2 linked regions of the Neurospora crassa OR74A genome follow. The protein of the gene in region 1 purifies or fractionates together with the protein of each later gene. This does not show direct contact. Links are inferred from orthologs where the notes say so. Each region holds a gene or a part of one and is shown on either strand. Other genes may lie near its edges.

Region 1 (15,712 bases):
GGGTAGTTGTATCAAGTATTGATTGGTGTAAAGTTTGGAAAATGGCTGGTTTGGTTGATGGTGATTTTGGCTAGTAGCCTGGATGGATTCAGTACCTATTGTCTGGTGATGTTCTTTGGAGTTTCGCTGCTGCTTGTTGTCGTTGGCCGTGTTTCTTGTAAGAAAAGTCCCGTTTGTAACCATTCGTTCCTTACTTACAAAAGCGCACATGCCAAGAACACTGGCCGATTACGTTACAGTACATGACTAGGTAGGTAACACTGGACCGGACCTCGATATTATGGGGCGTCCCCGTATCATGCATGTGCATGGATGGCAAGAAGAATCAGGTCGGGTTCAGCTGAACGGGGACGGGAATCGAACGAATGGAGCCCCCCAGAGAGCCTCCTCACCCACTGACACTGCACTCTTTACCGTCGTTCCTCCTTACAGTACCTCGGCCCCCGGTAGGAAATAACGACGGTCGCAACCTTCCACTTCCATCAGGTCCCGTCTTCAATGTTTGTTCTTTGCCAATAGACATGACATGGTTCCACCGTGACAATCATCTCGATTAGTTCCCCTGCCCATCGCTGTCCTTACATACCGCCCCATTAATCTCTAATATCCCACGACGTAATTGACAAACGAAGACTTGCGACGGCGGCGACGACGACCACTACAACGACGACGACGACGACGACGACGACGACGAGCAGCACGACGAGAAGGGGCGACCCATCCACACGAAGCACGCCATGTCGGTCGAACGACTTCTGACCAATGTTCTTCGGTTATACCAGGACGTCCATGACGATGATCGCACCGAACAGTTATACTCGACCACCACCACGCTGCTGACCCACCTCTCCAACCCGCTCAACATCACCGTCCTCACCTCGCAACTGCTCAATGCGCCAGCAATATGGGAGCGCGGCGATGGCATGAGGGCCTGCTACCGCGTCATCAGTATCTTCAACAGCGCTGCCACCCACGTCCGCAACAAGGAGTTGGAGGCCGCGAAACTTCAAGAGCAAGCCAAACACAAGCAGCCGCCCCAGCCACTTCCACTTCAGACACACCCGGCACTGCATGGCCCGCCCGGGTCGCGAGCGTCACAAGGCCTGCCGCCAGGTTCGAGAGGATCTCAGGCAGGACCGCCGGTGCCACAGGCGCCACGCACAGGTGGTGGTTTGTCGTGCGATGACTGGGTATCAGCCGTCCTCAAGGGCGCAGACGACAAGTCCAGCAGGTGGCAGCATCTGCTTGTCTTCTGCGGTGTTCTCCTTGGCATGACAAGTCAGAAAGATCCCAGGAATCGCCATGGCCTGAGCTACTCGATGCGCAATACCGTCGAGCAAGCCTTCGTCACCGCTGTCAACCTTGCCCTCCGCCCCAATGAGCAACCACACGGACAACACCGCGAACCAGAGCCCCCTGCTCCCCCCGGCCCGATAGCGCTGGCCCTCACCTACGCCTTCCCACTACTTTCAAAGTCCTCTCGCCTCGCCCTGGACTGTGACGCTATCGTGCCCGTTGCTCTGAATGGCATGACTGGCGCAGATGGCTTGCAAGACGGCCTCTTTCTTTGCACTATCGATGGAGATCTCAAGCAATCAGGAAACCACTTTACTTGGCAAGAGAACTCCCCATCGGCTCTTCTTCTTCGCCAGCTTGAGCAAAAGCCGTTGGTCAATGGACTTGGACCTCTGTCAAAGGTCGTTGGATTTGCCATCGAACATGCGCGTGATACCAACGTTGTCTTGCAGGCTCAGAATGATCTGCTCACGTTTACCCAAAAGCTCCTGCACGAATGGGAGGCTAGCAAGCTCTCGGAAATCGAAATCTCCGAGGAGGAAGTATACCTCACCCAAGAGACTCTACAAGGTCCTTGGGTGGCTCTGTGGACGCTCTTGAGGAAGGTCATGTATGGCTCGGTAGCGGTGTTACAGACCATTGTGGCTCGCAGTCTGCTCGATCCTCGGATGAGGAATGATGCCATGGCACCCGTCGTGGCCAGCAAGACCCTCAAGGCCCTCCGCTACCTCTACTTCATCTCGTCTCGGAACGGAAGCGATGCCTTCCAGGTATACACCTTCACGTACCTTACGTCCGTTGACAACCTGGCGAGGTACTCGGACGCCTGTGCCAGCTTTCTACGCGATGCGAAGCCACTTAACCCGGGCACCATTCCTCCACATCCCCTTCACAGAACCCTGGACTTGTTCTACTTGAACGTTGCCGAACACCTCCCCCTTAAGCTGACACCCGAGGACTGCGATTCGCTCATTGTGCAACCGGCCATGGCCTACCTGACTCACTCAACCCCCCTCTCGCCACGCATGCTCGAGTTGTTCGAGGCAGCACACAGCGCCGTCCTTTCGGTTCTCTCGTGCCCACATAACGCACCCGTCACCGTAAAGCTCGCCCCTTTCTATGCCGAGGCGCTGTTCTCGGCCTTCCCCACGCACATTTCACCGCGCCAATTCCGCCTGGCCTTCAAGACCTTGATGCAGATCCTTTCCCCCCCGTACCCCATTTCGTCAACCCACCCACAGCTGGCTGAGACACTTTTAGAGATGGTCCGTTTCCGCATAGGTGTCGCAAGCAAGGTGCCATTGCCGCCTCCTGAAACTCAAGTCCAATCGGCCACTCCCGAGCTACCCGTGTCTGAACAGAGTACCTTGGTGATGACCTTGATAGATTCTCTGCCGTTCCTCCACCTCCGGATCTTTGAGGATTGGCTAACCCAGGCCGCTCATGCTGTGAACCAGATCGAAGACGTGGCCATGAGGGAGGCTGCCAAGAGACGGTTCTGGGAGATCCTGGTCAGCGGAGAGATGGACGTCGAGAGATCGGCTATTGGTGTTGCATGGTGGGGGACAAAGGGAGGCAGGCAAGCCGTTCTCTATGGATCTCAAGGAGGACTTCCTGACGTGCCCATGATGAGTGGTGCCATTCAGAACAACATGGACCGAGCCAAGCTCTGATTGTCTGTGTCTTGTTTTTTCCTCCTGCATATGGAATAATGACATTTTTCTCTTTACTTCAGTAAAAGGCATGGAAGTTCTCAGTTCTCAAAATAATATGTCGATACCCCCTTCTTTTTGCCGTCCAGTAGTCAACTTTCTCGCCTGCCTGCCGCCCCGCCGGCTTACGCGGCTGGTCGTAACACTTTGCTCAAACTGATACGACTTGTACTCCTTTCTTGCCCAACTCTCTCGCCTGGTCATCGAATTGAACTCTCAGTCGCAGTTGCGTCAATGATGCCGTGGGGCGTGGCACGCCCAGCCTCTTAGTCTAGTATGGCAGCGTCATCAGCAGACTGACCCGAGGCTCCTATCGACTTTCAATGTTGAAGCCATGAGGCTGGATTGACGACCGCTTTGCTTTTGCAAACAACAATGACTTGGTCATTTTCTCATGCGCACCCACGACTAATACAGTGCGTATCTCGCCCGCATAACATGTGAGACTCACCGTCCCCCAAAGCGGCCTGTTATATACGGCGGTAGGTAGTACACCGACCGAGCCTTTCATTTCCCTTCCCCCCCTCACCTTTCTCTGGTCCAATTACGGGATCTACGGCGATGATACAGTCCAACCATTGTGCCTTGCTAGAAGGCGTGCGCGGAACAACCAATTCTGTTTCAGTCTCGCTCTTTTGTTCGTTCTCTCTTTTCCCCTCACCTCACTTGATCGGGGGGATGGTGTCGGACAGTTCTTTGACCAGAACATCGAGGCGAGCGAAGCCATGAGGGAACCACATGGTTTGATGTTCCTGACCGGTTGTGTGTCCGCGCGTCAACTTGTCTCGGATTTTACTTGAATAAGACAAGAGGAGAAGAGCGGGAAAGCAAAAGGCGGTAGAAAAGGAGATTACGCAGGCATTTGATTATACATAACGACTACTACAGTACACGACAGGTACACCTTGCTGCCTGGCTACCTCTTTTCGTTGGACTTGAGGATGGCGGAAAGGCGGTTGGGACGGGGAAAGGAGAAAAGTGACCGCAAGACCCAAAAAGTAACCAAAAAAAAAAAAAAAAAAAAAAAAAAAAAAAAGAAAAAGTTTAGAAGAAAAGAGAAGTACCATTTTCTGCTGCACTAGAGGCATTACAAGGAAGGATTTTGCTCGTCGGCAAGGCGAAAATGAAGGCGCGTGAGTGAATGGTAATCGCGTTTGAGCTTCCACCTGAGCTACTTCAGAGTCCAAACCCAAAACGTGGGACAAGTTACCTCTACCGTGCAGTGAGTATATCGAGGTAACCGGAGACACTTCGGCAAGAAGTTTGAAGGCGGCAAGCGGTAAGATGACTGGAGGGGAAAGGAGGATGATGGCATGAGACGATTTCGACGTGGCCTCCTCCTCTCGCCTTGCGGTCGGTTGATGGTGGTATCGTCTGAGAAAGACTTGGGTGGGCGGTAAACGACTCGTGGAAGGGCAAAACGGGAAGAGATGGGTATGATTGTGGTTTCAAGGAGCAAGGAATGGTTGCGGTGGTGTTGCGCGGAATCTGTTCTTTTGTGTACAGTGGAGAAAGAACTTGCTTGGTTGTTTAGCGGTAAGATGAAAGCGTTTGGAGAGGCGAAGGTTACTCTGCGAACTTTCTTGGATGGGAAGAGGAAGGAGAAGGAAGAAGGAATTCAGAGGACGAGAATTTTGGACGGAAAAAAAAGTATAAGTATGAGGGAGTCGCCGAGTTGCAAGAATGAAAAGATCTAAAAGAAGAGCATTGAGAGTCTTATATCCTCATCTGCATGATATATCCATAGCCTTCTACTACAAGCACCATTCAACCACTTCTCTAACCTACTTCGCAACTCTATCACCATGTCGTCTTACGATAACGTACGTTGCCTATCTCCTTTTACCCAATCCTCTAATCTTCATGATCATTCACAAAAGACACATTTTTGCTAAGTCTCACATCTGTCTTCTCCACCACTCACAGACTCGCGAGGAGACATTCGTGAGGCCATCATCTCATATCCTTTCATCCTCAGCATCCTTATCCTTAGCATTTTCATGGTCCATCCCACTCCAATTCCACACCAACCCTCACCAGTTTTTTTTTACACAGAACCTCCAGCCCAACCACAGCCATATCATCATCTACCGCACCAGACACCCCTTGCTAACAGCTTTTCCTGCCCCTTATTTTTGCGACCAGACCTCCGGCCAAGACACCACCACGGGTGGCACCACCTTCCCAGGTAACGAGCAAGTCCCCAAAGATCAGACCGGGGCCACCACCGATTCCAAGAAGGACGAGTCTAAAGACTCTAGTTTCAAGGATGAGTCCGCGAAGGACCAGAAGCCCGAGGAGACGGAGGCTTCGACTACTACGGCTTATTCCAAGAAGAAGTACCAGTCTGGTTAAAGACTGCGGTCTATGAAGATAGAAAGGGGGGGTAGTTGAATGGGGGTTGGTATGTTTACATCAACGTTGATCACCTATGTCGGTGGTTAGGGTCATGACTGACTGACTGACTGACTGACTGACTGACCAATAATGCTGATCTTCCATCCAGATGGCTATCGCAGCCACAACGTACCATGTAGACATGGATACCGATACCCTGTGGTTGATGGTTGACGTTTTGGGAATGGATGGATTCGTTGATCAGAGCGGTGTGAACGTATACCCAACCGAGACAAGATCAGATGAACAACATTTGGAAGGCGGGAACGATGAACAAAGGAAAGAGAGAAAGAGAGAAAGGGATTACGATCGTTTCGCGACTGTGTGTGGGTTTAACTTCGAACTTCCTGTTTGGCTAGCTTGATGTTGTCGGGAAAGATAGGTACCTCGCCGGTGCTTGAGTGAGGAACCTTGATCAGATAGACAGACGACTTTGAGTTGCCTGGTGGGCATTGAATATATCACCATGGTTGCTACCCCCTAATCTGCTACTAAGGTTGGCTGTGGAGCTTTAAACCTCTTCCCTACGTTATGCACTGATATCATGCTTGGTTCACTGTACGGGCTGTGATCAAGGATGCCTTGGTGTCGATAAGTGCTTGCCTGGCGAATGGGCTTGCCGTCATATATCAGCTCGCGAAAATGAGCTCTGATTTGGAAGGCACACCGCAGGGCTAAAGGAGTAGAAGCGCACGTATGCCTGATGTCCATATGCAGTTGACCGACCAACACCTTTAACTGAACCCTGTCAAGTTCGACTTCGGACAGTGTTCCCTTTCCAATGGGGGTATAATCATAAAACGCTAAACTATGCTCATGTATGATGCTATGCACAACCCGCCTGTATGCAAGTACAAGCCTCACAGCGGCCTTCCCCGCTAGACTCCCATTTATCGACCTTATCCCCAACCTTCGTCACGGCAAGAAATCGAGGTGTACACAAGAGGTCATCTTGGGTGATACCGTCCTCGATACAACCATCATTTTTCTCTCTCTCTCTTTCTCTCTCTATTCTCCCCCCCTCCCCACAATACCTTTGTCATCCCCCTACTGCTTCTTACCAAACGACTTCTGCCTCTCGGCATAGTCCTTGACAATAAGGGAGCAGTTCGCCTCCGCACACAACCTCTTCCTCCTCTGTACCGGCAGCTTGCTCGCAAACTCGAGACCGCTCGCCCTCTCGACCGCCTCCAGGGGCACCTCAAAGTCCTGCAGCGGCTTATCGTTGGGGATCTTGGCGTTGGGCAACACGAAAGCTCCTAGCGCAACGTTTCCTCCCTTCTTGCCGTCCTCGGCAAAGATGACCTTGTAAAAGTGCGTCGGCACCGCCACGTTAGGGGGCTGCCCGATCATCTCGTACTTGACGTACCACTTGTTGTCGCTGGGGTCGCGCTTGGGCAGGTACAGAGGTCCGGTGACGATGCGGACGGAAGGGTACTGCTTCGTCAGGCGACGGCAGAAATCCTCAAAGTGCGCCCAGTAGTCGCGGTTGAAACCCTCGCCCACCTGCGGGCACATGTTGGACAGGTAAAAGGTGTCGTCCATGGCGGCTTGCGACCACTTGCAGTCGGCCGCGGGAACCTGGTGCCCGCGATCGAAGCCGGAGCGGAAGTAGTCCTTGAGCTTGCCGCGGAACTTTTCGGGGATCGCCTCGTCTTCGACGAAAGTAGACTTCTTGCGGTCGCCTTCGGACATGGACAGGGACTCGGGCGTGATGTGCTCCACCGTCCAGTGCGGGTTCTTGGTGCGGCGGTCGTACGAGGACACAAAGCCTTGGCGGGTCGCGAGATCAGCGACGGGGCCCGGGAAGCCGTACTCGAAGAAGGCCGAGGGGTCGACAGGTTTATAACCGCCGGCGAGAGCGGGCGCGCTGAAGACCTGGCTGGCGGGAACCGGACCAGGCTTGGAAGGGGCAGCGGGAACGGGAGCGTTCAGCGAGGTGGTGTCGACCTTCTTGTCGCTCTTGAGGGAGAGCATAGCGGCGGTGGCCGCGGCACCACCGGCGGCGCTCACGGCGGCAATGACGGCGATGGTAGCTTTCGACATGGTGACTAGCTGTCGTGGGGTTGCCCTGCTGGATAGACTGGATGGGCCTGCTTCCTGTCGGGGTGCGCGCAAGGGGTACTCTCCGCGGCTTTGAGGCGAGCGAGGTGCTGAGGAGATTCGGACAAGGGAAATTGCAATGGTGGAAAAGTTCCAAAGCTCAACTTAATAAAATTTCCCACGATCCGCGACCCGCGACTTGCGACTCGCGCCCCCGCGGCATCTCCAAGGGACACCCGAGGACCCAGTGACCCCGGCTCCCCCGAACGGTTGGTGACACGGCGACGGAGTGGGGAGGTCCCCACCGGGCAACTGGACGGTACCACATCACAAACACATGCACTTCATCTGATTCAGCTGGTGGGCAGAGACTTCGAGATAGAATGCTGTCCAGTCCCTTCGTTGCAACTGATATGGAGCATTTTGCCAACTGTTCCAACGCATTGACAGGTTGGTAGAGGTATGCAGTATAGGTATTTCAGTGCTCTTTTTCGATCTCGGAAACTCAGGGTCTCTTTGACTGAGCAACCCTGACTAGCCCATATGAGACCTGAGAAATATGCTAGACCAAACAGCATCTATAGATATCCATCAGAAAGCTGAATTGTTGAGACTCATGATGGACAATTGCTCATGACAGCTACCAAACAAAAAAGAGAAACAAAGTGGGCCGAGTCCAAATCGGGGATCTGTGGTCTACATATGGTAGGTACAAGGCCAAGAAGGAGACCTATGATGGCATCGATGATAAAGATCCTTGTTGCTTTCGCTGCTTCTTATCACGAACGGACGGTCCTTGTTAAAAAGCCTGCGTGAGCTGCAATTGTTCGCCTTCCCAACCTCAGCCTGGATATCTCGGTCCAAAATCAATCGACTTCTTCGACGTCAAAACCGGCAGTCCCTATCAACTTGCGGCACTGCAGTCGACACCCAGGCATCCAAGGCTGCAAGTTCCCTCCACATCCGCCCTGCATCTTGCATTGTCTTCGTTCTCCGCACTCGACGCCCCAGGCACCTGCACTCCATTGTACCTACCGACCGAAACAATACTTATCTGACCCATTGACTTCCATTCTTCCATCCAATCTGATCACCTGCTTACCTTCACGACGCCAACAGCCCATTCAGGGCCGGCTACCGTGTGCCAGCAAGGTCCTCAAAACTAGCGCACACTGCACTAGCGAAGTTTTCGATCTCCAAGCGCCGGTCCGGATCAACAATCTAACCCCAGGCCCCAAACCCGCCGCCCAAGAGCGGGCTCCAATTGATTGTCCTGTGTCTTATATTGTCTGGGCTGGGTGTGTGTGGCCGTTGAGGTTCTCAACCACGACGGGACCTGCTAGCTACCTAGATTCTCGCCTGCGTCTGATCTTGCCTCGCTGCCTTTTCCCATCCAAACACCATCTTGATCAAACTTGTGAGGCTCGCTCGTCCGTCTGACTCCTGTTGACGCCAAGGTCCCTTTTTGGTCATTCTTGACAAATATCGGACTATATTCAGGATTTCTACTGCAACAATTTGACCGTTCCCCGTTGCTACAAGTACAGTTATCGATCGCCGTCTCCCCTCCATGCCATACACGCCGTCATCACGGATAGCAGAGACTGCAGCAACCGACTACAGACGGGCGGCGTAAAGCGACAATCCGGCAAACTTGCATCCTCACCCAATTCCGGCCACGATGCTTACAACCGCGATCGACAATGACACCCGAGGGTGGATTTTGACCGTCGTGAGTGGCTTGGGTTCGTATCCATCACCCTTCGTTGTATCGATTATGTGTGTGGGTTGAGTTTCTCGAGCATCCAAGCTGACGAGCAATCCCTAGCATGCATTCTTGGATCAACTATCATTTGCGTCGATGTCCCCATCCGCTTTTTCAACATCAAGAGCAAATTTAGTATACAGGGGAGCAATGTCTTCATATCAGGCTCTTTGAGTCTGAGTTTTGGGGTTATGGTTAGTATTCTTCAGACCTGGCTCTAGTGGCTTTCCTTGACCTTGCAAGAACCACAGCGAGTTAACTATTGAATGTACCACAGATATTCTCGGCCTTGTTTAGCATGCTTCCGTCTGCTTTGCGATACCTCACTACGGACGGGCGGGACGAGAAGACCGCAGGCCTCATCAACATGGGCTGTTACATTGCTGGCTTTTTCGGCATTCAGGTCGTCTCCCGAGTCCTCCATCGATTTATACCCTCCCACGTTGTTGGGTGCGACCATTCCCATAACCCACACGCAAATGTGCAACATCAGCCCCATCATGATGATCATTATCACCAGCCGCCTTGGGCGAGCCGTACCCATGGACAGTCCGTCACGACGCTATCCTCGGAAGCTCCAGAAACACCGACCATGGTCGAAGTGAATGGGCATGCGACCGAATCAACTCCCCTGCTACCGACCGAGACCGACCACGAGGCGCAGTCAGTTCCCCCAGTGAGGCCTAGTCTTTTTGGTCGTTCACATACCGTTGGAAGACAGGCCCGCAGCACCAGCGGCATCCAAAGCAGACGCCCATCCGTACGCCAGATGACGAACAGAGTACTATCATTTGTTAAGGATACCAAGCTTCACTGCGATGGCGATGGCCCGTGTTTCGGATATACGGATCCTTGTGGGCAGGAGTGCTTCAGACACATTGGTGCACGCTCCATCCCCCCTGGGCGTCCCGCCACCCTCCCAGTCATACGTTCCGGAGAGTCCGTGGGTACTGGCGAGGTACCAGATTCCCTCAACAGTCCCATATACCAAGTACGGAGTCGAACTTGTTCCAGAGAGTCGTCTGTCGGTTACGCAGACCGTGCCGACCACGATGGACCCCACGATGACCATGACGGAGAAAATCACGACACTGGCTATTCAGCAGTAGAGGAGGATATCGAGGCTCAACACCATCATCACGTACCGACAAACGCCTTTCTCTCTATCGGCCTGCAGACTGTTATAGCCATTGCGCTTCACAAGTTTCCTGAGGGCTTCATCACCTACGCCACCAACCATGTGAACCCTTCGCTCGGCTTCAATGTTTTCATGGCCCTGTTCGTTCATAACATCGCCGAGGGATTCTCCATGGCCCTGCCGCTGTACATGGCGCTGAACAGCCGGTTCAAGGCCATTGCCTGGGCCACATTGCTCGGTGGCCTCAGTCAGCCGCTGGGCGCCGGAGTCGCAGTGCTGTGGTTCAAGGTTGCCAAGCACAGCAACATCACGATCAACGGCACAGCATATGGATGTTTGTTTGCCGTCACTGCGGGTATCATGACCAGCGTGGCACTGCAGCTCTTTGGGGAGAGCTTGAGCTTGACCCACAACAGGAACATGAGCATCTTCTTTGCTTTCCTGGGTATGACTCTGCTTGGGGTCTGCGACGCCATTGCCGATGTGTAGAATGAGGAAACATGCGACAAAAGGTGTCCCCTTTTTTTGAATACGTTCATAGACGGAAGAGCACGGAGCTAATAGAACCATCTTGTATCACCCGTCTTGGTTGTTGGCGTTCTTGATTGGATCAGGGGACGTCATCGCACGAGTTTTCACGATAATGACAATGGGGAACAAATACAACGGTCGGACACGGGGCGTTTTGGGGAACATTGGACATTGAAGATTGGAGAAGTCATGAATTTGAACATGGGAAAAGGGGGCGGCGGGTTTATTGCTAGCAATGAAGTTTGTGATATGGCTAGTAACAAACCTCTTGAATATCAATTACCAAGACGTCGACCCCTACTTAGTGCCAAAACAAGGAATCTGAATGCCACGAACTACTCCACTTAAAGCCGGTGCTACTTGGAATTCTGACCCCTCACAAGCCCGAGTTTTCCCCTCTTCGGACTCCTCCTACGATTCTCCGAGATCGCTCGCTGGAGCAAAGTCGACCACCCAAGTATAAATAGGTGTGGTCACTGGTCACTCTAGATCTAACCTCGGGATAAACACTCAGACAGCCGGCCGATCGGGTATTAGTTCCAGCGGGTATGTTTCAGTCGTTCAGTGTACTACACTAGTCAATGAGTCTTCCTAGATGCATGAAATCAGAAACGGAAACTGAGGGGAAACTGAAGTCGATCACAAAACATGCGACATTCTAGACATCATTAGCACCGCCATTGTTATCCCCTCTGCCACACAATTTCTGGACTCACCACTAAAACACAACCGCACAAAAGTTCAACAAGCTAATTGGCCTCTTGATACCAAGAAATTTAGAAACAAAAATGTCGACAGAAGCAAAGAAGACTATGAAGGCCGTAGTCTTTGAAGGACCCAAGAAGGTTTCTGTTCAGGAGAGGCCGATTCCTGAGGGTAAGCCTCCCGCATCTGGTGTTTTCGCTCTCCACCACCAACCACTCCAAGATACATACATACGGTGGTCTTGATCATGCTAGACTTATATTTCACACTGAGCACAAACTCAGTCAAGACCTTCCCCAGATGGCATAACGAGTCCCGAGTCCAACTGGGCACACTGACTGCAAATCATCATCCTCTACAGCACGACGGAGTTTTTTGTGTGTGACATGGGCTAACGTGAGTGCATGAATGATTGAACAGTGCAAGATCCTAGGGACATCATTGTCAAGGTGCAGATGACTGCTCTGTGTGGCTCGTAGGTTCTATCCTCTGCGCTTGGTTTCCTAGGCTTAGTATAACATGCTACACACCTCACCCAGTATCTCACCCCATCACGACCTATCCTCCCTACCTCCCTTCTCCGTTTCCCCTCTCCCTTTCACCTGCCTCACTGCCACCGATCAATCCCCCTCTCTCCATCACCAAAAGCACACCCCTGACCGACCACCGCTAACCAACAACTGCCCAAAGTGAACTCCACACCTACCGCGGCCGCGAGGCCTCAACCCCAGGTTTCATCATGGGCCACGAATTCACCGGCGTCGCCCACGCCGTCGGCTCCTCTGTGAAGACCATCAAAGTAGGCGACAAGGTCGTCGCCCCCTTCACCGTCTCCTGCGGCACCTGCTTCTACTGCCTTCACGGCTTCTCCTCCCGCTGTGCCTCCTCTTTGTTGTTCGGTTCCCCCGGGCTCGACGGCGGACAAGCCGAGTACGTCCGCATCCCCCTTGCCGACGGGACCGCAGTCGTGGCCCCGCCCGAGATCGAAGATGAGAGGGCGTTGGTGTTGATGGCGGATATTTTCCCCACGGGATATTTCGGCGCGAAAAACGCGTTTAAACTGATGCATGACCTGAACCCGGAGGAGGCGACGGTGGTGGTGGTGGGTTGTGGACCTGTGGGGCTTTGCGCGGTTGTATCGGCGCTGGAGTACAAGCCTAAGCATTTGTTTGCTGTGGATTGTGTGGAGAGCAGGTTGGCGTTGGCGAAGGAGCTGGGCGCGGAGCCGTTGAACTTTGCGGAGGTTGAGAAGGGAGGTGTTGGGCTGGAGGGGATGGTGAAGAGGATTAAGGAGGTGACGGAGGGGAGGGGCGCGGATGCGGTGGTTGAGGTGGTGGGAAGCAGGCCGGCGCTCAAGACGGCGTATGAGCTTTTGAGGCCGTTTGGAGTGATCAGCAGTATTGGTGTCCAGGGACACTATGATTTACCTTGGTCGGGTGAAGATGGGTATAAGTAAGATTTCCCCTTCGTGCCTCGTCTGTCTCGTGAGATGATGGATAATGGATGGTTTGGCTAATCTCCCGGCAACAGCAAAAACCTGAGAGTACAGATGGGCCGATGTCCGGTGCGGTCCATCTTCCCGGAAGCGTTGGAGGTGATGGGTAGAAACCAGCACAAGTTTGGGTAAGCACCAATATATGTTGGTTTGTACAAATGTTGACACAAGATGCTGACCTTCTGTCGTCTATAGCTTCATGTACGACAAAATCATGCCCCTCGCCGAGGCTGTCGAGGGATATGATCTCTTTGATAACATGAAGGTACAGAAGGTGATCTTCACACCTTGAATAGGAGCCATGATTTCTTCGCGCCGGAGATGTCATACGCATGAGTAGAGTACGTCGGGGAGACCAAATAGCCTAGCCATCTACAAGTACTTCCATAGACAGACAGACAACTACCGCAATGCACCGACGGATGCGGAACTTTGGTGTGCCTGGTAACTCTCTCAGTTCTGTCTAGGCTTCACGAGGCCGTTGTGCATCCAGTAGTACGTAACAGTTGAATCATCTTGGACGGTCGCGAGCAAAATACGCTTGCCACGCTTCGGGCCCCTCCATAACTGCCACTGGGCATCCTCGTTGGCGTTCACAGACTCGCCTCCGGGAGGGAGGGCCGTGATGGCATCAAAGACGGCCGCGAAGTCGCTAATGGACCATTTCTCAGCCAGGTGCAGCGGAAGAACCCATTCCAGCTCAGGCTCCTGGGGAACACGCTGGTTCAACTGCTTCTCAGCCCTGATGATGTCGATCTGCTCATCGGGGTGCACATAGAGGCGCTTTGGCGGGAGTCCATAGATGAGAGGTCGAGGGAGGTTGTCCTGAATGTGTATCTGGACCTGAGTCCAGTCGTGTTGATTTTCCAGGTTGTTCACCACAACCTTTGTGAGAGCTTGGAGGTGTTGGTCGGCCGACATGTTGGCAACAATGGTAAGACAGTCTTGCGTTTGGGGTGACTGACTGACTGACTGACTGACTGAATGAGATGGTTGTTGTTGTTGTTGTTGTTGTTGTTGTCTTGTCGATGTGGGCCGAGCAAGAAGCTTGCCCTGATGTCCTGTCCCGTCTTGTTCATTTTCGCGAATCTGTTTGTCCGTTGGCGGGGTTGATCCAGACTCCATTTTTAAGCGGGTCTCAACCACAAGGGTACGACCTCAAGGGACGCAATCAGCAGGGGTTCTCTATCAGTATTGGACAGGAGGAAGTGGGTCACTGAGGAAGATCAGTCGAGCCTGGAACATGGAGGCCGCTGAAATACGGCAGTATGGACAACTTTTGTTTCGGATGTTTTTCCCATCGACATCTCATTTTCACATCACCTCCCGTCGACACGACACATTCGAACACTTTTTCCCGAATTACCTCGTAACTTTGAAGCTTTACTGACACATGCGGCATGACATCACCGCTACGTCGGCCGTGTTTTGGTCCCGTCAAGCCATCTCACAAGCTCCCAATGACCATGGAGTAGGCCGAGATGACGGGAAAGGTTCACCAATGAACTGGGGACCCAAGATATTTTCTGTTGGAAAAGGCCGTCTTTCTGGGTTTCTGGAGGGTGTGTCACGACGGGGCTGAGTGTCTGCAGGTTTCTGGGGGAGCTAAGCTCCGGCTATACGCGTACAGTATGGTATAGGCTGTTGGATTGAGGTCTGGCCCATCCCGTCACTCGCCCCCCCCCCCCCTAGTCGCCGTTACCTTGGGCGGTTTGTGGTTATGTCGACTTCCTCGCTTCCTCCCTCCTTTTCTGCCCCCTTGAGCAGCTGCATCACTAGTCGGTGCGTCCTGTACACAAGTAAGGTGACCCTCCTGTGTCGTCAGTTGCAGGTACCGTGCCCTTTGCAAGGGTGCAAGTTGGTTCCGGGACCAAGAACTTAAATCTGACGACGAGTGCTATCGGGCCCTTTGACTTCTCGGCCGCCCCTTCGCTGTCTTTTCTCTTTCTTTTTTCTTCTTCCTCATCCTCTCCTTCTCTAGGTACTAGTAACCTTGCCCACATTGACTTTGGTCTTGTTTACTCTGAGAAACCCCCACATCTTACTCTACTTTTACATCGTTTGTATCTTACACCACTCTTGTTTTCCCAGAGCATTACGAATACCAAGTACACATAATTAATCTTTAGTCACCCCCGCCACGCTTTGATAACCGCGCCCGCCAACAGCCCCCTTCGATCAACGGCTTTATCAAAGAAGCTGCGATGGTTCAAAACAACCATGTCGCAGCCGGGAGCCTGAATGGCACCAACGATAATCCATCTCCTCACAAGGATCGAACGACGGAGAACTTGAAACCCGTCACATCAGAACAGCCACTCGTAAGCCGCCAGGTCTCACGACAAACCGACACCACGAAGCCTCCTCGATTATCGGTAGATGATGTTACCTTAGCAGTACCAGCAGAACGCGACATCGCAGAAACAGACCACACACGGCCTTTTGATAATGGCTATCACTTTCCGCCCAAGTACTCCTGGCAGGAGTCCACAAAGCAAGGGCTCTCCTCGTTCTGGAAGTTCTTTACAACGCCAATGGGCTGCTTCTGGACGTTCTATGGGCTCAACGTGGTAGCTTGGGGTGGCATGTTGTTCCTTTTGCTCTGTAACGCCGCGCCGGCCATGTGCCAT
Region 2 (15,930 bases), on another chromosome or scaffold:
AGCCGGACCCCATGGAACTCATGGCCCTGGGAGAGACACTACGGCTCCTGTTCAATGTCACCAGCAAATGTCCATCCAAGCTGGACTGTTTCACTGCTGCGGTCCCGCATATAGTGACCCTTCTTCTCAGCTTGGATATCCCACCACCAAAGGGAACACCGCCCCTCGAGTCTCCCCTCAGTCCTCTGGTCAATGCGCTCATGAACCTCAAGCTCGATTCCGAGGAAGCACGGTCATGCCTCTACCCCAAGGACGCACCCTCCAGTCTTGCCGAAAAGCTCATCACCCTTCTCGATCTCTCCCTCAAAGCCTACTCAGACCAGGAACTCGACGCAACCGTCACCCCTCTAGTCTGCATCATCTCTTCCATCTACGAGAATGCCCCAGCCGACTCTCCCGTTCGTGACTTCATCCGCAAGAGCCTGCTCCCCTCAGAAGAGGAGCGCAACAAGGTTCTCGGCAAGGGCGACACCCTTCCCGCCAAGCTGCTAGCTAACATGACCAACCCCATTGCTCCCGAGTTTGCCAGAGCTGTGTCCCACCTTCTGTTCAACGTGTCGGACAAGGACGCAAACAAGTTTGTCGAAAACATCGGATACGGCTATGCTTCTGGCTTCCTGTTCCAGAACAACATCCCGGTTCCCGAAGGGCTGGGTGGCGATGCCGAGAAGGGCGAAAGTTCCCAGGCTGGTCAAAGCAGCAGGAGGGCGGTCAACCCCATTACTGGCCAGTTCTTGGATACCGAGACGTTCCCGGATATGCCCGAGATGACCATGGAGGAGAAGGAGCGTGAGGCCGAGAGACTGTTTGTCTTGTTTGAGAGGTAAGTGACTGCATTTTTCCAGTCAAGTCGGAAAACCCGAAAGCTGACCCTTTTTCTCTTCGCAGGGCGAGGAAGCTGGGAATCGTTAATGTTGAGAACCCTGTTGCCAAGGCGGTTCAGGAGGGTCGTTTCGAAGAGTTGCCCGACGACTACGAAGAGGATTCGGACTGAGCAAAGGGCCCGACGTTTCTTTTTGTTGCAAGTCTACCTGGAAAACCTCGACCCAGACTGACCACCTAGAACTCACCACGCTGGTCTATCAATGCTATCGTAATGCTAATCAATATCACCCGGTTTTAATCCCGACAAAAAAAAAGAGCTGACGACGCTGATGCTGGTGAGGATGACGACGCGCATCACACATCATTCGAGCCTCCTCCACTAACTGATGCATCCATGTTGTCGATCCTCGTGGAACGATGTCGGCTCTTCAGGGGCACATGATTCGCTTTGCCCGGAGTGTACTCCGCTACGGTGAGATGGCAGGGCTGACAATGTGTTATTCCTTCACCGCATGTCCGCGTACCGGAGACTGCGGCACTGCTTCCTCACACTGCATCACCATCACCACCCACTTGTCACCGACCAGTGATGATGCCCTTGATGGCTCAATAGGCCTTCCTCCGCGGAGGTATACGACTCCCACCTAGGACGGCAAGTTCTGTCTCAGTTCAAAAGGTGTGATCACCAATAGTGGAACGGTGACTGCAGGGAGTACCCAGATTCCTACACTGTGAAAAGGGACAACCAGTATATGTACGGCATCAGACATTCAGAATATCCCGTCCATTTCCAACGGGCATTTCGACATGGTAAAACCAGGAACCTGAGTCAAAACTACAAAAGGAGGTCTTGGTCTCTTTCTTTTCCGCTGACCAATTTCTTCAATGTTTATCTTTTGCTCCCCTTCCAGACTCCAATTCCAAGAAAGTCCGTTGACATTGCCGAGACAACTGAACTTGCCGGTTTCCTATCAGTCCGACAAGTCGGCAATGATCTTCAACACACCGTGGATATGTTCACAAATCCAAGTGTCTTGGTCCTGTGTCAGTGTAGGTTAAGGTAAGTGGATGGGATCCGAGCCGAACAGGGGTTGTCTAAGGAACCGTCAGGGGGGGCTACTGATCCGCTGAGATGGCCGTTAGTGCGGGGGCCGGTGTGCTCTACATACATACTATCTGCACCAACTCTCTAATCGCTATTCCCGCCCAGGTCGTGCCAAGCGTCATTCTAATTCACTGGGCTAGGTTTTCAGTCGGACAACGGGAGGCTTGTAGAAAGATGTTCAACTAAATAATAGTAAAGACATGGGACCTACCATCGTCCCCTTCCCCTGGACACCAACCCATACAACTTTACACGTGTAGACGAAACACCAAGCATATCAACCCCATCGGCCACCATATACCCGTCAATAACCTTCCCGTCGTTCTCCCACTTTTCCGGATCTGCCTACTTTCTTCACCGAGCAACCGTGTACTCAAAAGTTCGATTTGAGACACCTGTGACATTGTACTATTACCACAGCCGAGCTATCTACTGTCTAGGGTAGTGCTGTTGAGTGGCAATTTAAGAGCGTCTTTACATCCAAAGCCACTCGACCTGTGTTGAAGCCATCTTCCACTATCGATCGACCATGGCCAGTCCCATTGGGAATCTTATTCATCCTCCGGACCCTCCATACCGGCAAGGATCGGGCCAAGCTCCCCGTATAGACTCGATTCTCCACAGTCATCAACCACATCCGGGTCCGAGTCCGATCCACCACCTCAGTCCCATCGGCAACCGGCCCGGGGTTGGGTCTGGCTTGTCTCTTGCTCCACTATCCTTTCCTGGTCCTTCTCATCCCATTCCGCCGCCATCACATCTTCCATCGCAAGCTCATCGACCATCACTGCCGTCACCAGTTCATAATCCTCCTCCTCCTCCACCACCGTTGTCGAGGAGTCACTCCAACACACAATCACTTTATCAGTGTGCCGACTGTTTACGTAGGTTACAATGCTCGCTTTTGAATTCGGCATACTAACAATAAACAAGGACGATATTCTCGGCCTGAACACTTACAGGTATGTCCATGACGGATATAGTCAAAGTATCGCAGCAATGTAGCTAACCGAAGCGTAGAGACACATTGCGACCCATACTCTTGGGAAGCGTTTCATTTGCGATGTATGTTTGCTGTCGCAGCTGATTTTTTTTCTTGGAACTTGGACTAACACTGTCCTGGTTAGGTTTGCTCAAAAGCCTTTGCCCGAGCTGATCTCCTAAAGCGTCACCGCACCAACCACCAAGATGACAATGGAGCCAAAAGGAGACGTATGAATTCCTCGCCTGGTGCTGGACGGGTGACGCATGCTTGTCAGGCTTGTGCGAAGGCGAGAGTGAAGTGTGAAGAAGCGAAGCCGTGCGTACCTACAACTGAAAGGGATTAGGTGAACGACTACTGACGACACCCAGATGTACACGATGTAAAAATCGAGGGATAAGCTGCGAATATGGCTCCTCGGAAGACGCAGCTCTGCATCTCCTTCATCTATCCGCCCACGACCGCGCTGAGGGTTATGACCATGAGGATAGACAAGCTTCCTATTACCCACGACCTTCGATTTCCGAGCCTCATGCGTCTGGCTTCTCCACACATTACCCTTCGGAACCAGTCGAACACAGTCCCATGCTCACCGAAAGCGAAGAATCCCATATACCGACTCCCGAAACGATGATGGACCAGACTCAGACTGCTAACCCAAACCCAGAACAAGCCTTTCAAGTCCAAGCAACTTACCCCCATAACAATAACACAAGCAGCAGCATGCTCGACAACATGGCCAAACTCCCCTTTTCCGACTTTCTTCGGGACGTCTTGTACGACCAATCGCTCTCCCAGGCTCAGGGGCTGGCAGTTCTTGACTTTTGCGATGACTCCAGTCTTGACCTGAATGCCATGGACTTTGGGCTTTTGGACTACTGGTTACATGACGAGCCTGTTATTCCGCTTCCCTCTTCTGATCCAGCTCAGCTCGGTCCAAGCTCAGGCCCAATTCCGTCGACAACCACCACAGCAGAAACGGGTCAAGCAGGCACAAAAAACTCAGATCCCGTGAACATATCCGCCATGCGACCAAAACTGGCTCAGATATGGACAGACTCTCCCTGGCGCTGGACCCCCCAGCGAACGGATAACGTCTACGCCGAACAATCGCACTTGCCTCTCCCAACATCCGGGCACTCTTCTCCCTCGTTCTCTCCCAAATCGGCACTCAAACGCAAGTCGTCTGATCTTTCTCCTTCACAACCAACCGACAACAACAACAACAACAACAAAGCAACCAAACTGCAGCAAAACTCCAGCTCTCAGGGGCAGCAGCAACTAATAACCCTCAACCAGCACACTCTTCACTCCTCGGGCCGCGACCTGATCCTCTCCATAGTCCTCTCCATCTGCAAATCCAACTCGTCCCAGTTCTCCAGGGTAGCCTCTTCGTTTCCTTCTTCGGGGTCCATCAACCATTGGATCCACATCTTTTTGGCTTCGCATCTATGTTCCGTGTCGAGTTTTATTGCTTGTCATTTGCCTCCTCCTCCTCCTCCTCCTTCTTCTTCTTCCTCCTCTTCTGGTTCTGGTTCTGGCTCCGGCTCAAAGGACCACTCCCCCTCGGCGCTCTACTGGTCCCTCAACGCCCAACCCCCCGAATGGCTCGCCATCACCGCCGCCTGCGGCGCCGTCCTCGCGCCCGTGCCCGCCCTCCGCAAATTCGGTTTCGCCCTGCAAGAAGCCGTCCGCGTCTCGATCCCCGGCCGCTTCGAAGAGAACAACTCCAAAGTGTCGGACCTCGGGCTCGTCCAAGCCCTCGTCCTGACGCAGGACCTCGGCGTCTGGTCCGGCAACCGGCGCAAGATGGAGATTGCCGAATGCCACCTGACGGTCCCCGTCGCCATGATGCGCGGCCGAGGCAAATTCACCCGCGGCGCTTACCTCCCTTCCATCGTAGTGACGGAAGCCGACGAAGGCAAGGAGCTCGAAGATAAGTGGAAGCGGTGGATGGAGATGGAATCCTGGAAACGACTAGCGTTCCATGCGTACCTGCGCGACGCGCAAGTGAGCATGACGCAGCTGAGCAATCCCAGCATCAGCTACGCGGAGATGCGCATGCCGTTACCGGGCCCGAAAGAATGTTGGTTCGCGCGCACCAAAGAAGAGTGGAAGTCTCGGTGGTTAGCTGCCGCCGCCGCCTCCTCCTCGTCCTCCTCTACCATGGACGAACAAGTCCCGTGTCTCGGCGACTTACTTCGGGATGTAAACCTCTTGGTCCGGCATCACCATAGACTAGACGTCCAGTTCGCCATCTCCATCTACTTGCATGGTTTCTGGTCGCTGATCTGGGAATACCGCCAGCTGGCATCGATCCATCGCCCACTTTTCGGACAACCGTCGTCTTCTTCCTCATCCACTTACACTCCTACATCCCCGTTTAATAACCCCAATGCTACCACCACGCAATCCCTCCTCATCTCTCGACTCGCCGACCTGCGCACTACCTTGCACCAATTCCACGCTTTGGTCTCTTCTCCTTCAGCTCCCTTGTATTCATACACAACACCTAACGAACTCCTCCTCCTCCACCTTTTACTCATGCATATCCATGTGTCATTAGAAGACCTACAGCTCTTTTCGGGAAAAGAAGGCGAAGAGCAAGCGAAACGGATTTATCCGGTCCTGCAAAGATGGGCGGATAGTAGCGAGGCGCGACAGGCGCTGTGGCATGCGGGGCAGGTCCTCAGGTTCGCGAGGGAGTTTCCGAAAGGACAACTGAGAGAGTTTTGGGCGGCCGCGGTGCATTTAGGCGGGTTGGCGGTTTGGGGGTGGGGGGTGTTGCAGACTGCGAGGGGGGGTGGTGTTAGTTCTAAGGATGCTAGGCACTTGAAGGAGAAGGAGAGGGAAAAGGAGAGAGAAAAGGGGCAACAGCATCAAAAGTCAAGCTTGTACATCCAACAAGTGATGACGCCTACCACCACCCCCGGACTCACCACGCACCACCATCAAGTACTAGAACCAGTCACACCACCTCTACTAGTAACACTCAACGGCCCCCACACCCCCCCCTCCCTCGACCTCGACGCCTTCATCCACCACAACCAAGGTCGTCCCGCTCTTTCTTCTTTCACTTCTTCTTCTTCTTCCTCCTCCTCCCCCCCTTCATCGTCGTCCTCTTCCTCCAACAAGGACGGTGGTGGTGGTGGTGGTGACTACGCAGTAGTCCCACTAGACGACATAGCAACCTGCATGGCCATCTGCCAAGCGATTCTCAGAGATAACTTCCCTGCCTCCTCCTCCGCCTCCGCCTCCGCCTCCGCCTCCACTTCTGCTTCTGCTTCTGCTTCTGCTTCTGCTTCTGCTTCTGCTTCTGCTTCTGCTTCTCCCGATGGAGGTGGTGCTTCTTCGCTCCTCCCGGCGATAAGCGAGAATATTGTGGCGCTGTTGGGGAAGTTGGGGGGTGTTGCGGGGGTTGTTGGTGGTGGTTCTGGTGGTGGTGGTGGTGGTGGTGGTAAGTCAGGTGCAGGTTCAGGTTCGAGGGGTAGCTGAGCTACTGCCGAGCGGCGGCCATATTCAGGGGAACAAAATGAAGAGAGAAAAAAAAAAAAAAAAAAAAAAAAAAAAAAAAAGAAAAGAAGCAAATCCCTAAATGCAGACAGAAGAAGAAGAAGAAGATGGATGGATGGATGGATACGGGGGGGGTGGTGAGGGGTTATGGGTAATGGATGGAAACTAAGCAAGGCAAAGGGGGGAGGGAGAAGGGACGTTGTAACTGCCTCGCTGGGTAGCCAGTACCATAGCCCGGAACAAGGACGCTTGACAGCTTGGCGATTTGAGAAGGGCGAGCAAGATGAAGGGAAAGTTGTAAGATAGTCAGTCATATTGTATAAGCAAATAGACAGACAGGATCATCGTGGCATGTGGCATTTGTAGGAATTGGGATGTTCCGGGCGTCTGGGATATTGGGTTATAGCATAGCATAGCATAGCATAGCATAGCATAGCATAGCATAGCGGAAGTTTTTAGGTTCATGTCAGCGCTGCATTTCTTTATATAACTGATTAGGAACATAAAGAGCAGGTTAAGCCAGTGTAGTGAAAATGGTGGCTATATTGATGTAAGCCTCTCTCAGTCATTGCCATCACTCTTCACGTCCTTCACTTCCTATACATGAGCTCTTGTCCAGCTACTATAGTCATTGCCGTCTGTCTGTCTGTCTATCTATCCAGCAAAACTGGCCGCCCCCACAGCTACAATACTATCTCACCTTCTGCCACATATCCACTGTCATCACTTATCATCATTCATGTACATCCTCCGTTTCCTCCCTTAATCCAATTACCACTTCCATCCCCTTGCCTTGATGTCATAACCTCCCCTTCATCCCTTCTCTAACCCACTTTGCCCTCCGCACCCGCACCCACGCATCCTGGGTTCAATTCTGTGTCTTCCCACCCAAAACAATCGTCTGCGCCCCCTCAAACGCATCGCCCGGCTCCAACACCTGCCACGTAGCCACCGCCCCCGGTTCCACGCACAACATGTTCTTGTACCCGTCCTTGGGCTCAAAGTCCGCCATACCTTGCGCCTTTTCAATCCAGGGGTTCCAAACCACCACGTTGGCGAGGTTGTCCCGCAGAACAGTGTACTTGGGTTGGTCACCTTCGAAAACGGTGATGGGGATGGACGCGGGGTCGTCGCCGGCGGGGGTGTAGACGCGGTCGGTCTCGGAGGAGATGGTTAGCGCCGAGGTGGTTTGCGTGCTGGTGGAAATGGGGGAGGTGGTCTTGTCGACGTAGGAGGCGTTTTCGAGGCCGTGGATGGAGACGGAGGTGATGTCCTGTTTTTTTTTGTCCGTTAGTTGGAGGAAGGAAGGAAGGAGGGGAGAGAAAGGGGGACATACGTTAACTCTGAGATAGGTATGCATCAACATCTGACACTCCCAACTCCTCTCATCGTCATTGGTAATGACCAAGTTGGTCGTCAGGCTATCCGTGTTCAGCGTCACGCTGTAAATCGCATTGAACGCATACGGCCACTTTGCCCTGGCGTCCTCGCTCAAGCCCGAAGAGCTCAGTCCAAAGTCCAACTTGACAGATAAATCCGCCGCCGCAGCCGCCACCGCTCCGGCAGCGCTGGTGGCCGTCGCAGCAAAGGCCGGGGTGGTGGGAGTGGGCGTCGATTCCGAAGTGGACTTGCCCAGGAACTCCCACCGCGACGAGCGGGCGAAGCCGTGCTGGGGGAGATCCTTGGTCTGAGCATGGTCGGGGGCTGTTCCGAAGACCTGTTATTTCCGTTTCTCGTCAGCATAATGTCCTCTTTCCTTTTTCCTTCCTTCCTTCCCTCCTTTGAAATAAATGACCAAGGGCGGCGGACAACATACCGGGAAAACCAAGGGAATACCGCCCCTCACAGGCTTACTTCCATCCAACTTGGCCGCCTCGCTCAACCACAGCTTCTCATGGCCGTTCTTGTCCTTCCAGCTGACGACGGTGGCGCCGTAAAGCAGGACCGAGACGCTCTCGCCGGTCGGAAGAGTGGCGGTCACACGAGAGTTGTCCGACGAGAAGGCGACTTGGGGTTGCGGGGGGAGGCCGGGGGTGGAGGCCAGGGCGGAGGGCTTACGGCCACGGTCGACCATCGTTGCGGTTGGTATGGGTTGTTTGGGTTGTTGGTCGGGGAGAGTTGTTGGGGTTTGCGATGGACGTCGAAGGGTATTGGAATAGAGTTGGAACCGGAAGTGGAAGAGGGGTAACGAGGTCGGCCAAACAAAACGAGAATGACCAACTCGCTACGCAAGTAAAGATAGATAAGCTATAAGTCTGCTGGAAGCCGGCTCTAAGCAAAGTGGAAAGCTTGGTCAGTTCGAGTCGGATGTTTCAAGTTGATCGGACGGAAGATCAAAAAGAGGGGAACCCTTCTGGTATGTACACAGAAGAGGGGCAAACCACCTAAGTACTACTCACTCTACCTGAGACGCGGGATACAATACAGCCCAATGACAGAGTGCTAGTGTAAGATTGAAGAAATGGTCGACAAGTTCGTTGGTGGTTGGGATGAAGAAGCCAATGATACAAGACAGCGGGGTAAATGATCCATCCCCCTTCTCTCGCCAGTAAGTAGCTTGTTGCATGACCTGAAACATGCCCTGTGCAGTGACCAACCGACCAAAGCTGCTGGAGCCCGACGACGGACGGTGTACTGTAGGTACGTCACTGTGCTCACGATACGTCTCCTTGACTACCCTGTACTTTACCTGGGCTTCGAGTTTCCAAAACACGCTGCGTTCACAAACCACCACACTTTTGAAGATGAATTTGAAGATGAATAAGACGCTATAGCACTTTTGAATTTTGAGAAACCCTATTTTCACCACAAAACTATACACCCTTTTACTACACAATATCTATATCGCGACCACGGGCCATCTCCCGTCGTGGCATGCCAGCCGCTTCCAACCTTGGCCTGTCATGAAAAAAGAGTTTCCGAAGCAGCAGTCCCGCCACATCCAGTACCACCACCTGCACTAGGTGTAGTAGCAGCCTCATTGGTATTCGCATCCTATTTTGTATTTGCTGCCCCATTCGCTGTAGCAGCCCCAATAGTTGTAGCACTTCCTCCACTAGTAGCCTCAGTACCTAGTTTCTTCATCTGCCAGCTCCTCCACATCCTCAAGCAAGCAGCCCTCTAAACCACCGAGGACTTTCTCCTTTCAGCCTCCTTCTCCTTCCTCTCCTGCCTATAATGATCCGCCACCAAGAAGGCCAACTCCAGCGCCTGCTTCTCGTTCAACCGCGGATCGCAGAAGCTCGTATAGTTAGTACTCAAGTCATCCTCATCCAGTCCTGCACCGCCTCCCAAGCACTCCGTCACCGCGTCACCCGTCAATTCCAGATGCATGCCGCCCAGGTACGACTTCTCTTCCTTGTGGATGCGTAGTGTCTGCTGAAGCTCCGAGAAGATGTCGCTGAACTTGCGCGTCTTGATGCCGCCGCTAACCGATTGTGTGTTGCCGTGCATGGGATCGCACTGCCAGACCACGGTGCGGGCGTACTCCGAGCTTTCGACGGTGCGGATGTGCGCAGGCAGGAGAGAGGCCACCTTGTCGGCGCCGTAGCGCGTAATGAGCGTAACCTTGCCGGGTTCGCGGTTGGGGTTTAGAGTGCGCAGCATAGGCAGCAAGTCCGAAGTAGGTGTCGAGGGACCAATCTTGACACCAATGGGGTTGGCGATGCCGCGGAAGTATTCGACGTGCGCGTGGTCGATTTGGCGCGTGCGGTCGCCGATCCACAAGAAGTGAGCCGACGTGTTGTAGTATTCTTTCTTGGGGGGCGTGGTAGAGTCGGGAGGGTAGGAGCGGACCGAAGGGTGGTTGAGCAGGCGGGTGAGCGGTTCCTCGTACTCGAGAAGGAGACCCTCGTGCGAGGTGAAGAGCTCGACAGTCGACAGCTTCTCGTTTTGGTCGGCGCCGATGGTGTGCATGAAGCGCAACATTTCCTGGATGCGGTCGACGGTTTCCTGGTACTTGGATTTGAGCGCCGGGTCGCGCACGTGGCCGAGGCCCCAGTCGAGGGGACCGTGGAGGTCGGCGATGCCGGAACCGATGGCGCCGCGGATGTAGTTGAGCGTGGCTGACGAGTACTGGTAGGCGCGCACGAGACGGTTAGGATCCAGCTCACGCTCGTCGGGGTGGAAGCCGTTGAGGATGTCGCCACGGAAGGAGGGCACTTCCTTGCCGTTGATGGTCTCGACAGGCGAGGAGCGAGGCTTCGCGTACTGGCCGGCCATGCGACCGATGCGCACAACGGGCTTGTCGGCGCCCCAGAGGAGGACAAGCGACATCTGGAGAAGAAGCTTGATCTTGGACTCGATCACGTCTTGCTGGCAGTAGCTAAAGAGCTCGGCGCAGTCGCCACCCTGAAGGAGGAAGGCCTTGCCTTGGGCAACATCGCGAAGGTGTTCTCGAAGACGGATGATCTCGTTGGGGAGGACGATGGGCGGGAGCGTCTTGAGCTCGTTGGTGGCCTTTTCAAGAGCAGCCTTGTCGGGGTACTCGGGGCATTGCTTGATGGGCTTGGATCTCCACGAGTCGGGCGCCCATCCGGGGGCGTTTGGTGTCGTTTGTTGGCTCATGGTGACGACGGATTTGAAGATGGTGAAGTGGAAGTTGCTGTGTAAGTGGGTGGAAATTTCGAAGCCAAAGTGGCGCTGAGGATGTCTTGGCAGTAAGTACGTCTAGTATTCTATGTAACAGCGAGTGACTAAGAAAGGACAGGTGGGTCAATGTTCAAAAACTAAAGTCTTGACGACGACGACGACAACTGTTATGGTGGTCTTTTCTCGGAAAAGAGAGTGGTAAAGAATGGTGTGTGGTAGTTGATAGTCATGACTGGACTTCAAAGAAGACGGAAGATCCTATTCAAATATCTTTTCGGCTTGTCGGGACTGGAGTGGTGAGTCAGTGGCAACTGAAGTGCACCCACCACACGGTGTTTGTTCAAAGTGTCAAAACCGTCCCTCCAAAGTTTAGGTAGTAGTTGGAGTCCTTGGGAAAGTCAATTGACCAATAACAGAACAGCGTTAGAAAGAAGCCCAAAATGTGTCCCACTGTGACGCTGTGGTGCCTGCCCCGCCCCCACAACTGGTCGCGACGGGAACTCAACTGAAGTGTTCTACAGCGAAGCCCTGCAGTATGTAGTAGTGGTAACACTGCCGCAGCACCTAGCCAGCTCCTGTTTCAAGCTTTAGCAACCGACGTCTGTCCGACTTCCATTTGTCTCCTCTTCCACCGACACAGCCAATTTCAGTTTCAACTTCCAAAATGGCCGAGGACAAACAACCACCTGCCGTCGTCGAGGGCGCCACTGGCGGTGACGTTGAGGAAGAGGTTCAGCCCACGGCCAAGTCCGCCGAGGACCGCAAGGCCGCCGCTGCTTTGTCCAGCCTCGACTCCAACCGCGAAGACGAGTCCTCCGCCCAGGTCGACCAGGATGCCGTCCAAAACGCTTTCCACTCTCTCAGCACTGCTGGCAGCAAGCAGGCCGAGGTGAAGAAGGTCAAGGTCGATGCGGCCGATGTCGCCCTTCTTGTGAGTGTCTTTAGTAATCGCCGTGGGGGACAGGTTACTGACGGGGCATCAAACAGGTCGAGGAGCTCGAGCTCACCAAGGCCAAGGCTACTGAGCTGCTCAAGGCCCATGATGGCGACGCTGTCAAGGCCATCAACGCCTATGTTGCTGCCCCCGCGGCTTGAAAAACCATACTCCCCAGTTAGAGAACAAACAACAGACCATATGAAGCCGATTTACAGTCTGAGGACCCCATAGCCGCCCATCGATCTGTTTGTATACTTGAGCTATACGCGACATACTATACCACATGTTTCCAGCAATGACGACGACCAAAACATATTTGTGACAGAGGATGGGCATGCATAGGCCGGGCCAGGAAAGGGAGTTTGGGGCAGGGCGCGATGGATTAGACAAAAAGGGCAGCCCATCATATATATCGACTGAATCGGGAGCGATGTTGGGCATGAAAGTTCTTTTTGGTTGCTTGACGTGGACGTAAACGCGCGGCCGGTTGCTGGAATAGAGTTGGTATAAAGTTGTCGACCTTCCGCATCTGTTCTAGCGCTTACACGTCCCGTCTCCAGGGCAAAGCAAAGGTACATTTGAATACTCCCATACAATTCTTTCATGGTAGAGTCATCATGTATGATACTCACAAAGAGAAACCGTTGGTTACCGAGAAGGGCCCTATGAATGCTTCATGTCGTAGATACGCCTCTGGTCGGTGTTCTGTTCCGCGTGGTGGTTAGTCTCTCCCGTCATCTCTTCTCAAGCAAAGGGTGAGTCTGGTTCACTTGCAACCATCAAGACATAAGACGGAACCCAATGACAATACAACCTTGATATCATTCCGGGTTCTGTTAAGCCGCATCCAACAAACCGCTATTGAATCCTATACCGTGCCAGCGCACCGCAACCCCAGCAAGTATTGCGCGTCCTTTGCGCGTTCCGGCCCAGCATTACGTACTCTTACCAATACAACACCAATCCATCCAGCCCTATGATGCGAAACCCCTTATCATTTGTTTACTGTGGTTCATTTAAGGTTTGACCATTACTCCACATTCCCTAACACTTCATTTGACCTCAGGCGTTTAGACTCTTTTTTATTTCATCAGCATCACTCTCCATTCACTTCCCCAGCCCTTGACCTGATCAGCTTCAACTTTGTCTCCTACTACTTCATCCCACTATTCACTTCCAACTCCCTTATCCATCACTCATCCCCATCACCAAACAAACCACCAAACCACCACAATGTCACCACCACCACCACCACCACCACCAGATCCCAACGACACCCCACCAACCGAACAAACCACCCTCCTTCTTCCCCAAGATGTCCCCTCCTTCCAAAACCAAAACCCCTCCTCCTCCTCCTCCTCCTCTCAACTATATCCAACCCTCCTAACAGTCGCCTCCCTCATCCTCCTCTTCACCATGGGCGTACAAATCACCACGGCGCCCTCGCTCGCCATTCTCCAGGGGATCATCTGCAGAAAGTACTATGAGAAGGGAATGACCGATTCAATTGGGGCAGGACTGGGAGGAGGAGGAGGAGGAGGAATGGAAGGGCTGCCAACGAATTTTGAAGATGATAGGTGTAAAGTGGGACCGGTGCAGAGTGAAGTGGCGGAGGTGAATGCTTGGAAGGATGTGTTTGAGATATTACCTGGTGGGTTTTTTTTTTTTATTTCATATGCATTTTTTTTATTTCTTCGGGGGGGGAGAGGGGTTGAGAGGGGAGGTGGAAGAAGAAGAAGGGGAGAAAAGAAGGGGAAGAGGAAACAGGGGGGGGGGGGGGGGCAGAGATGAAGAGAGGAAAAGAGGAAAAAAAAGGAAAAGAGAAGGAAAAAGGAAAAGGGAAGGAAAAGAAAAGAAAAGAAAAAGAAGAAAAAAAAAAAAAGAGGGAGAGAGAGAGAGAGAGAAGAGGGTGGGAAGGGTAAAGGGCAGAGAAGATGAACGGGTGATAAATTGAGTGGGATATCATGACCATGAAAGGAACACGCTGCATGATCGTTGAACAAAAAACTTACACACAACCCAACAAAACAAAACAAAACACAACACTAACAACATGCAAAACTCCAGCCGTCGCCCTCGCCATCCCCTGGGGGATCCTAACCGACCGCATCGGCCGCAAAAAAGTCTTGCTCCTCGCTTTATTTGGCTGTCTACTAAACGAAGCATGGGTTCGACTCGTCTGTAAGTTTTTTTTTTTTCTTTGTCTCTTCCCTCTTCCCTTTTCCCTTTTCCCTTTTCCCTTTTCCCTTTTCCCATCTTTTACATACCTACCTTTTTAATAATACACAAAAAACTAACATTCCCCAAGACTACTTCCCCACCTTCTTCCCCATCCGCGCCGTCTGGTTCGGCGGCCTCTTCCAACTCCTCGGCTCCGGCAGCACCACCTTCACCAGCATCGCCTATGTTTTGGTTGCTGACGTCTGCCCACCCGAGCAACGCTCCACCTTCTTCAGCTACCTGCTTGCTTCGTCCATCGTCTCGCGGTTCGTCTTTGTGCCTATTGGCGGCGCGATGATTGCCTATGATGATGCGTGGTTGGCCATGTGGATCGGGATGCTGGTGCAGGTGGTGGGGTACGTGGTTGCTGTGGTTTTTGTGGAGGAGACGTTGCCTTCTTCGTCTGGGACAGGCGATGATGAGATAGGTGGTGGTGAGTTGATGATTGGTGCAGAGGGAGAGGGAGATGAAGAGGAAGAGGGAGATGAAACGGTCATGAAGAACAAGAGGACTGTTATGCAGCGGCGGGTGGAAGAGTACTTGGAAAAAGCAAAGGAGGCAGGGACTTGGATTCTCCAAAACCCCAAGGCGGTTTTGCTGTTGCTTTGTTTCTGGTTGTACTATATGGGCGAGCAGGCGGAACAGTTGTTGATGATTCAGTATGCGAGTAAAAGGCTGGGGTGGTCTTTGGGGAAGGTACGTCACACCCACACCTCTCACTTATACTCTTTTGCTTCTTTTTTCTTTTTCTTTTTGTTTTTCCTTTTCTTTTTTCTTTTTCTTTTACCTCCTCTTCTTTTCGTTTCTTCTATTTTTCTTCTTCTTTTTTCCCTTTTTTTTTTCTTTTTGTTTCTTCTTTGCCTTCGTTTAACCACTAACCCCCCCTAAATAAACAGGCCTCCCTCCTCCCCTCCCTCGGCGCCCTCACCAACCTCCTCACACTCACCCTCCTCCTCCCCTTTTTGTCTACTACTTTCTTCTCCCACTCCTCACCCTATCCCTGGGCACGAATGGGCTCGGAAGAAGCCAAAGACGCCCTCCTCTCCCGCCTCTTCGCCACCCTCCTCACCCTCGGCTGTTTATTCATCTCCCTCCCCATTTCTTCTTCTTCTTCTTCTTCTTCTTCTTCTTCTTCAAATGTCAGCTTTCTCGCCTCAGGCGAAGTTCTTTATTCAGCAGGCGCCGCGCTTTCGGTCCCCTTGCGCAGTCTGATTACCAACCTTGTGGATGCGCGCCATCGCGCGACGCTGTATACGGTGATTAGTGTTGTTACGTATGCGGCTACGTCGGCGGGGAGGCCGGTGGCTGCGGGGTTGTTTGGTGTGGGACTCAAACTCGGAGAGGGAAAAGAGGACCAAAAGGGGAATCAAGATGGGATGCGGTGGATGGGATTGCCGTTTTTGGTGGCCGGGGGGATGTTTGCTGTTTGTTTGGGGGTGGTGAGTTTGGTGGGGTTTGGAAGGAGGAAGGGGGAGATTATGGAGGAGGAGGAGGGGGGAGAGCAGGAAGGGGTGGAAGGGGAAGGGGAGAGGTATAGAGATTGATGCCCGGTGGTAAATCTGGATGGTAGATAAGGTGGAAACCAATAAAGAGTGTTGGGATGTTATGTAGACTGTGGTTGTAGACTGTTCCCGTCCGGTTGAGAAGACTTAGACTTTTATATGACCATAAACACTGCAGTGAGGACTGGACGGTTCCCAACTTTTAGTAGTATAAATGGCTGCCCGATCTGAGCAAGAAACGTTTCGTAACCTAATG

What was found.
Region 2: the proteins of NCU00030 (region 1) and NCU02786 purify together in Saccharomyces cerevisiae (affinity purification with mass spectrometry; 4 studies listed by BioGRID, with this or other methods). This does not show direct contact. The link is inferred for Neurospora crassa OR74A from reciprocal best matches to the Saccharomyces cerevisiae genes NUC1 and YMR099C.

What each region holds. Positions count from the first base shown.
Region 1 is NC_026503.1:2,339,554-2,355,265, reverse strand, and holds NCU00030 (mitochondrial nuclease), read right to left. Parts: upstream 7,807-15,712; 5' UTR 7,452-7,806; coding exon 6,453-7,451; 3' UTR 6,084-6,452; downstream 1-6,083. Other genes in the region: pex8 (peroxin 8), read left to right, coding at 738-2,969; NCU00031 (hypothetical protein), read left to right, coding at 4,814-4,831, 5,154-5,363; NCU00029 (ZIP metal ion transporter), read left to right, coding at 9,130-9,193, 9,277-9,407, 9,491-10,840; NCU00028 (S-(hydroxymethyl)glutathione dehydrogenase), read left to right, coding at 11,671-11,758, 12,008-12,062, 12,278-13,039, 13,118-13,210, 13,278-13,374; NCU00027 (hypothetical protein), read right to left, coding at 13,536-14,207; NCU00026 (hypothetical protein), read left to right, coding at 15,287-15,712. UniProt on the Saccharomyces cerevisiae protein: This enzyme has both RNase and DNase activity.
Region 2 is NC_026501.1:9,192,927-9,208,856, forward strand, and holds NCU02786 (hypothetical protein), read right to left. Parts: upstream 8,973-15,930; 5' UTR 8,500-8,972; coding exon 8,242-8,499; intron 8,143-8,241; coding exon 7,762-8,142; intron 7,699-7,761; coding exon 7,294-7,698; 3' UTR 6,885-7,293; downstream 1-6,884. Other genes in the region: RIC8, read left to right, coding at 1-823, 889-994; NCU02787 (hypothetical protein), read left to right, coding at 2,460-2,814, 2,864-2,892, 2,951-2,995, 3,058-3,230, 3,284-6,407; aro-8 (phospho-2-dehydro-3-deoxyheptonate aldolase), read right to left, coding at 9,546-10,991; NCU02784 (hypothetical protein), read left to right, coding at 11,680-11,946, 12,003-12,110; NCU10239 (hypothetical protein), read left to right, coding at 13,186-13,603, 14,020-14,133, 14,261-14,868, 15,069-15,716. UniProt on the Saccharomyces cerevisiae protein: Catalyzes the interconversion between the alpha and beta anomers from at least three hexose 6-phosphate sugars (Glc6P, Gal6P, and Man6P).